2 linked regions of the Rhinolophus ferrumequinum genome follow. The protein of the gene in region 2 purifies or fractionates together with the protein of the main gene of each other region. This does not show direct contact. Links are inferred from orthologs where the notes say so. Each region holds a gene or a part of one and is shown on either strand. Other genes may lie near its edges.

Region 1 (3,748 bases), on a different chromosome or scaffold from region 2:
TTATTTTCGGGGAAACACGGTAAGTGTTTAGATTTATGAAAGTCAGAAGTACAATGGCCTAAGTCAGACAGTCACAGTTTTTTCATGTTTTCTCTATCTTTACTTAAGAAATGGTTCTTGACCATCTATCATGTTAAAGGAATTACGCTAGATGATTAGAGTACAAATAGGAACAGGACATGGTCCCTGACTTTTCTCTATAAAATCAGCAGAAGTGCATTCACATGGAGGCCCTTTTTTCTTAAATAAGGAGTCTATTTCATGGCTGTTCCATAGTGATGATGCCTCTGCTCCCCTTTTAGACCCCAACTGAGAGACAAATCAGCCACTGTACCCTCTCTTGAGCCTAGAATAGGCTGCTCCACCCTTTCCCAGACACCAGAAGGGCAAGACAGGCAAGGTCAGGGGGAAGTATGGGGATTCAACCTTCAGCTCCTCTGCACCCAAATATCCATCCCTCCTGCCCATTGTCCTTCCTGCCCAGTGGATGCTATTCGGGAAGAAAACAGGTCAAATGAAGGGAAAACTCACAGTGACTTACTATACTCACCAAAATTTAAAACCAAGCCGGGCATTTAAAACAGGCCAGTGCATTAAAACAATTTTGCTAAAACGTCAAGATACTGTTTTTTCTATTACCAAATAATATATGTAAACATCCATGAGCCCCACTGCATTTCAGAGCTTTATCCCTAATGATGGGGTGGAGTGAAGCACATAGAGGTGAGGAGAGGCTCAGGGAGGGGTGAGGCTTAGGGACTGGGTCAAGTTCTTTGCACACATTACTTGGTGATAAAAAAGCTGAGCATTTATTGGTTACTTTTTTTAGGCTGCAACAAAATGCCCCCATGGAAAATGTCTGATGCAAAATGTCAAGTGTCTCGTTTTAAAGCAGAGGACAATGCTTAGTGCACAGTATTTTTGGCAGTATGATCCCCACTATTATCCAAGACACCCAGGCTTAAAACATTGGCACTAGCAAAGGAACTTTCACCATAGCCTTTGTGATAGTATGTATTATCCACAATTTCACCTTAGAGATGGAAAAAGGACCCTCCTCCACAGCATAATGTTCATATATCCTTTAATGTTTTCTTCATTTATGCATCAATACCACCTCTCATGAGAGTGCTAAACAACAGACGTACAAAAATGGGTAACATAATTCTGCCCTCAACAGTTTGACTTAACAAGCATTTACTGAGAGTTTACCACATATATTAACTGAAAAGCACTAGTGTGTGTGTGTGCGTGTGTGTGTGTGTATTTCAGGGAAAGTTTTCAGAAGATGCCAGTGTTAAGTCTTAAGGAACTAGCAGGTGTTTCCTTGATGAAGAAGGAGAGGTAGGGCATATATCCAGAGTATGTGAAGGAGGAGCTGGACAGATAGGCAGAAGTCAGAACATGATGGGCCTGTATACCAAACTATGGAGTTTGGACTTTATCACTGGAGGATTTTAAGAAGAGGACTGTCATGCAGATGATTTGCTGATGCAAGGCTCATCCAAGGGTGGACTGGAGACAGGAATGGAGGGAAATCAGAGCTTGAATACTGACAAACTAGTTAGGAAACTATTACTATAAGCTTGGTGAAAAATGATGAGAACATAAATTATCTCAGAGGCACAGAGGAGGGAAAGCTGAGGACCTATTTGAGAAATACTATATTCTATAAATAGACATGATAGGACTTGACTAGTAGACATACGGGGATGAAATCCAGAGTTTAAAAGTCTTTCCTGCTTTCTACTTCTAGTTTAGGCAATTATTTGGCTAGCGGTACTGTGCATAGGAAGCATACTGAATTTTTTTTTTTTTATAGGGAGGCTGGGGAATCTGAGACCCGTGGGACATTTAAGTGGGGAGGTGTATGAATCAGTTGGGTAACTGGGCCGTACACTTTTTAGACTCAAGAAATTTACAAGACTACTCCACATGCACGTGTACCTGACAACTCATTCTGAAACGAACAAGGCATACAGATATGAAAAAAGGACATTTTTCATGCTAAGAAAACCCGCTGAAAATGCAGAGATTGAAAGTTAGTAACAAAACATTATGCTACTAGCTGTCAAACTGACACTGCAGAGCAATGTATTTTCCCTAGTAAGCTAAATGCAGGGTTCGCTTGGTTTTCTCCTCACACCACTTAAAAATAGCGGTGTACCTGGTGTTTAGATCTAGGAATTCCTTTTCGCAGGTTTGAAGAGCAAGATCTGAGAAATGCGCCCTCCCGTGGAAGTAGAATGAGGGGGCTCTAGCACCCTCTTTACTACCAAACAAAGCCCTGTAAAGAAATGCAATTTACGGGGATCAGAAGGCCACAGCGCTCGGACTGCTAAACCAAAAAACCAAACCAACCCTGCCAAGGGTCAGGACCCCTTACCTGTCACGTCGGCCTAAGGACAATTTCAGTTTCGACTCAACAAAATTCGACTCTCCGGTACGATAGCTTGCAGTGCGTCCCGCTCCGCAACAACTGAACACGCTGCAAGCCAAAACACGTACACTGTCGGGATGCTCTCCAGCCCGCAGGGCCGGGCTTCGACCACGTGGGTGGCTGGGGCCAGCCCCAGCGACCTGCGAAGGGCGGGAGTAGGAGGCGTGTCCCTGCGGAGGGAGGCGGTCCCTGCGGAGGGAGGCGGTGCCTGCGGAGGGAGGCGGTGCCTGAGTAGTGGGCGGGGCTTGGGAGGACCCGTGCTCTCGGCCTTGTTTCGCCTACTTTACCCCTTTGCCTTCGCCCTTCGAGCCGCCACGTAATGCCACGTCCCCCGCACATGCGCATTTCGACTGCTGGTGGCCGCTGTTTCCGGGCTCAGGGGGCTGGAGCGGCCGCCGAGTAGGAGGCGGCGGTGGCGGTGCCCGGGGATCGTAGAGTGCTTGCTGGTCTGGGGCCAGGCCCTGCGGAGGACAGGGGAAGTTTTCTTTTCTGAAGTGGCTGGTAGAGCCGGTGGCTGAGCGGCAAGATGAATTTCCTTCGCGGGGTGATGGGGGGTCAGAGTGCCGGACCCCAGCACACAGAAGCCGAGACGGTGAGAGGAGCAGCGGATCTGGGACTTGGGAAGGGTCCGGGCAGGAACGGGGACGGAGGACTCGGGGTCCCGGAGGTCACCTCCCGCGCCCCACGGTGGGCCGGGGATCCACATGCCGCCTCCCCTTTTGCCTCCCTTCTCCTGAAACCCCCGAGTTATTCCCTTACGCCCCCAGCGCAGCCCCCCACCGCGGCGGCTCGGCCCTGCGGACAGCAGCCGCGGGAGGATGGTCGGTGGGTGGTACCGCCGGGAAGGGATCGATCCAGGGCAGAGGTGGCACGACCTATCTTACACGCCCCTCGAGGCCGCGGGCCTCTCCCTCCTTGCTTTTCGCCGGTGTCTCCACTGGCCGAGAGGAGCCTGAAGTCCTTGCTCCCTCTCTCGAGGTCTGGAATGGGGAATTGGGGAAGACTGGGTTTAAAACCCAGCTGTTAAAGAGAGCATGTGGCTAAGAATAAAAAGATAGTTTGGGGCAGAAAGCCACCTGCTCCTGTCCCATCAGCTGGAGGAAGGTCGTTCTACCAGGTGTTACTAGATCAGACCCCGTGTTTCGGACTCAAAATATATGCCATTTGGGAAATACCTGGACGTTGTAGGGATGTTTCGCGCTTAAACCGCTTTAGGGACACATTCCCCGCTCTCCCTTCCACTCACGCCGTTCAGAAGTCTGAACCCCTGATTTGGTAACACGATTTACAGCGTCACTTTAAAAAACT
Region 2 (3,748 bases):
TGCCATAAAGTTATTCTGCATTAAAAGTGGTTTTAACAGGTAGACCTCCACCAAAACAGGATTAGGGATCTGTATTTCTGATTGCTTTTCCATTATAGACATTAATAGCTCAAGAACGTTGCTTCTGCACACAAAGAAGTCAGGAAGTACTTTGGATATGACTTTGAGGGGGGTAAACACTGAATCAAGAGCTATAATAATTCGGCTGGTTTTTTGTTTGTTTGTTTTTTCTACTGTATAGTAACCATGTCAAAAGAGATGATGAGAAGCCCAACAAACAAAATGAGAACTGTGATTCTACTACAAGTAAATTTTGTGACAGATTAACAGTCTGGAAAAATCTGGTAAAATTATATGATGTTTCAGATTTGTTTCAAAACCCAGTTTGGGGGAGGCAGTACTACATGAAAGAAAAACTGACCCTAGCTATGAGTTAATATTTATCAAAGCTGAGTGACCAATACATGGGGATTCTCTATACTATTCGATTTTTGTATGTTTTCCATAATAAAAAGGTTTTTTTAATTAGGTTATCTACTACAGTATTAAAACATCATTTCCTTAACACTACAATTTTCCATATGGCAAAAGACATGCTTTGTCTTCTGTTGCTTGTTTAGTTGTTTGCTTACGTGTTTTTAAAGAGTCATCCAAAGATTTTAAACTAGAAACGATGGTAAGACTATGTGTCAGAAAATTCTAGGAAAATGTCAGTAACAGGGAGACCAGTTTGCATCACGAGTGTTATTGAGATGGTGGTAAATCAAAACAGTTAAAGTTCAGTGAGGAAATGTATTACCTAAAATAATCCAACGTACAGGAGGATCATTCAGTAGAGCAAAGACACTCCTTACTTTTCTGTAAATCTGAACCACCATGAGTTATATTTTCTTAATGAAGGGTACACCTACAGAACTAAGTACAGAATTAAAAGAAACTCTGCATCCTTAAATAAAGTTGCTGTTTTATAAATCCTACCTGTCACCAGGATGACCGAAACTGCTCGCTCTACAATCCAACTGTATTTGTAGTTTTTATTTCAACAAGCAGCAAAGTAGTTTACATTTGGTAAGCACACCGATTCTTGAAAACCCAAAAACAACCAAGAATCTGGTTTAACTCTCTTTCCACCACCCTCTAAACAATTAAAGCTACAAGCAGAAGGGAAGAGTGACCTTAAAAACGTCCCCACAGCCAGAGAACAGAGGCAGAACAGACTGAAGCACACATCTTCGCCGAGCAGAAGAAAACTTCCACATAAGCAATACTGCGACACGGAGGTGGGGCAAGGGCTTAAAAGGAAAGTCAGCCAACAGGGACGGAGGGAATAAAAGCACAGCTGCAGTGAAAAAAAAGTTAGAAGTTAGAGATGCAGGCAAGAAAGGACACACATTTTCCAGCTTCGTACACCCCCCTCCAGAGCCTGGCACACAGCAAGCGCTCCAGAAGGGTTTGCTGAACTCAAGGAAAGCTTCTGCCAGCAACTTTCCCAGAAATGGAATGACAACAAGAAGCCGGATGATGGCAGAAAAAAATGGACAGGTTGCTCACACGGAGAGAGCTGGTGAAAATCTTGCAGGTGGATCAGCGGAGGAGATGGAAAGAACAGCATCTATCTGTCACAGACTGCCTACTTACAGAGTGTCCCAATTAAACGTACACCCCTTTCAGATATTAACAACCCAAAACAATAAGCCGGCGCTGGCGGTAGGCACGCTGAACATTTCTGCCTCTACGGAAACTCAAACGGGGAGGTAGGTCAACCTATGTCCACTCTACCCACTAAGTTATACCTTAATATCACGCTAATAAATTATGCAGACGGTTTATTGGGACACGCTGTGGGTCTGGCACTCTGATAAGCGCTTTACACGCCCCAATTCACTGAACCTTAACAGCCTTAAGAGGCAGGGACAGCCTTAGCCCCTTTTTCCAACCAACACAACAAAGAGTTTAGGTGACTGGCCTACGGGGACGAAGCTGGATTTGTACCCGCGTTGAACACCTGGGTGGTGCGCTAACTACTATGCTACAGACCTGCTTGGGGGGATTTAGGTGCTCCGGGTCTCAAGGACTTGAAGCGGGGACCCTCCGCCTCCGCCCCGGGAATAACTTCGGCATCCCGGCGCGCCCGGAGGAATGAGGAAAGGCGGCGTGGCACCTGTTTCTGGCCCCAATAAGAGGTGGAAGGGCTGGGAGCGCCTGGGGTCCAGGCCGCGGGGCGCCCCGACGCGGGGGGCGCGGGAGGACCCGCCTCCTCCGGGAAGGCCCCGCGGGCGGAGCGGGAGGCCCGGGGAAGGAGGCCCGGCGCGCGGGCCCGCCGAGGCCTAGGCCCCACCCGCCGCCCACCTCCCCGCGGCCGCGGCGCCCGCGCGGGCGCCGCCAGGCCGGGCCTGGCCGCCTCACCTGGCTGTTCCCCGGCGCTCGTCCCCCGGCCGGCGGTCCTGGGCGGCGGCGGCGGCGACGGCGGTGTCGGCGGCGAGGAGGGGAAGGAGGAAGGAAGAAGGGAAGAGAAGGGACGGCAGGAGGGAAGAGACGGAGTGGCCGCGGAGAAGGCGGGCGCCGCCGGGCCGGGGATCAGAGGAAGCGGGGAGCCGAACCTGACACGGCCGCCGCGGGCGCAAACCCTGAAGAGCCGCTCCGGCGCCCGCAGCCCCGCAGGAAGTGACGGGGGAGGGGCCTCTGCCCGCCCCCAGCCCCCGCCCGCCTCCATGCCCGGCCCCACCCCCCGCCCGCGGCCCGGACCACAAGTCCCGGCGGGCGCCTGCGCTCGCAAGGCACGCCGGGAACTTAGTGGGCTGGGACCTGGTCTCTCTAGAGCCGCCTAGCCCGCCCTGGGCGCCGGGACCTGCTGGGAGTTGTAGTTCAGCTGGGAGGTGTGACCCGTCCGCGGGAAGCGGGACTGGGCCTCTCTTCTTTCCTCACTCCCCATTCGTTCTTCCGGTTTTCCTCTCCGTCCTTCTCCCGCCTCGGTTCCTCATTTTTCTCTTTCCCTCAATTCCTCCATCCGTAAATGTTTATTAAACGCTTGCTCTGTGCAAAGCCCTGCTCCAAGAGCTAAAAATATGGTGGTAAAGAGACAAAAATCCCTGCCCTCATAGAGCTCACGTTCTTAGGTAACACACACAAAAATAAAATAAGTAACTTTTAGAGTGACTTAAAAGGCAAGAAGTGCCAGATTGCTATTTCTTCCAGCTCTAGATAAATGAAGCGGGTTTTAGCAGCCATCTTATATGATCTTACCTGGCAAGATATACATACTATTTTTACCACTTGTTGTATCGTGGAAGAAAAGAACTGTATCTGGGCTTTAGCCCAGTGATATGCAGATGAGTTAGCAGCGCGCCAACCAGACCAACATTCGGTTGGGGCAGAGGCGGTCCCAAATCACCGTGCTGGTAATCATTTGGATTACCAGTTCCAAGCTCAAGACAGGCTTCAGAGAGATCATATGGTCACCTAATTGAGGGGATGAAAAAAGGTATAAATAAGCGTGTAAACTACAGAGTATTACTCAAGGCGGGAATGAGAATCTGGCCCTTTTTCAATCCTGCCTGGTGGATGCCCTCAGAAAATATACCAACCTAGATCCATGGAGCCACAATACTAGCCATGTATTTCATTGAACAATCAGCTCCAGACATCGGGAGAAAACTCCAGAAATTTTAATTAGGACCTCAGACCCCTTTCCCTCAGCTTCCTAGTCTATTGGACACGGTCTTTAACGTCTTTAACAACCGAGATGAAG

Evidence for each region.
Region 1: the proteins of STAU1 (region 2) and G3BP2 purify together in Homo sapiens (affinity purification with mass spectrometry; 3 studies listed by BioGRID and IntAct, with this or other methods). This does not show direct contact. The link is inferred for Rhinolophus ferrumequinum from reciprocal best matches to the Homo sapiens genes STAU1 and G3BP2.

What each region holds. Positions count from the first base shown.
Region 1 is NC_046288.1:32,119,619-32,123,366, forward strand, and holds the start of G3BP2 (ras GTPase-activating protein-binding protein 2), read right to left. Parts: upstream 2,545-3,748; 5' UTR 2,387-2,544; intron 1-2,386. Other genes in the region: USO1 (general vesicular transport factor p115), read left to right, coding at 2,967-3,032.
Region 2 is NC_046306.1:10,055,071-10,058,818, reverse strand, and holds the start of STAU1 (double-stranded RNA-binding protein Staufen homolog 1), read right to left. Parts: upstream 2,542-3,748; 5' UTR 2,407-2,541; intron 1-2,406. UniProt on the Homo sapiens protein: Binds double-stranded RNA (regardless of the sequence) and tubulin.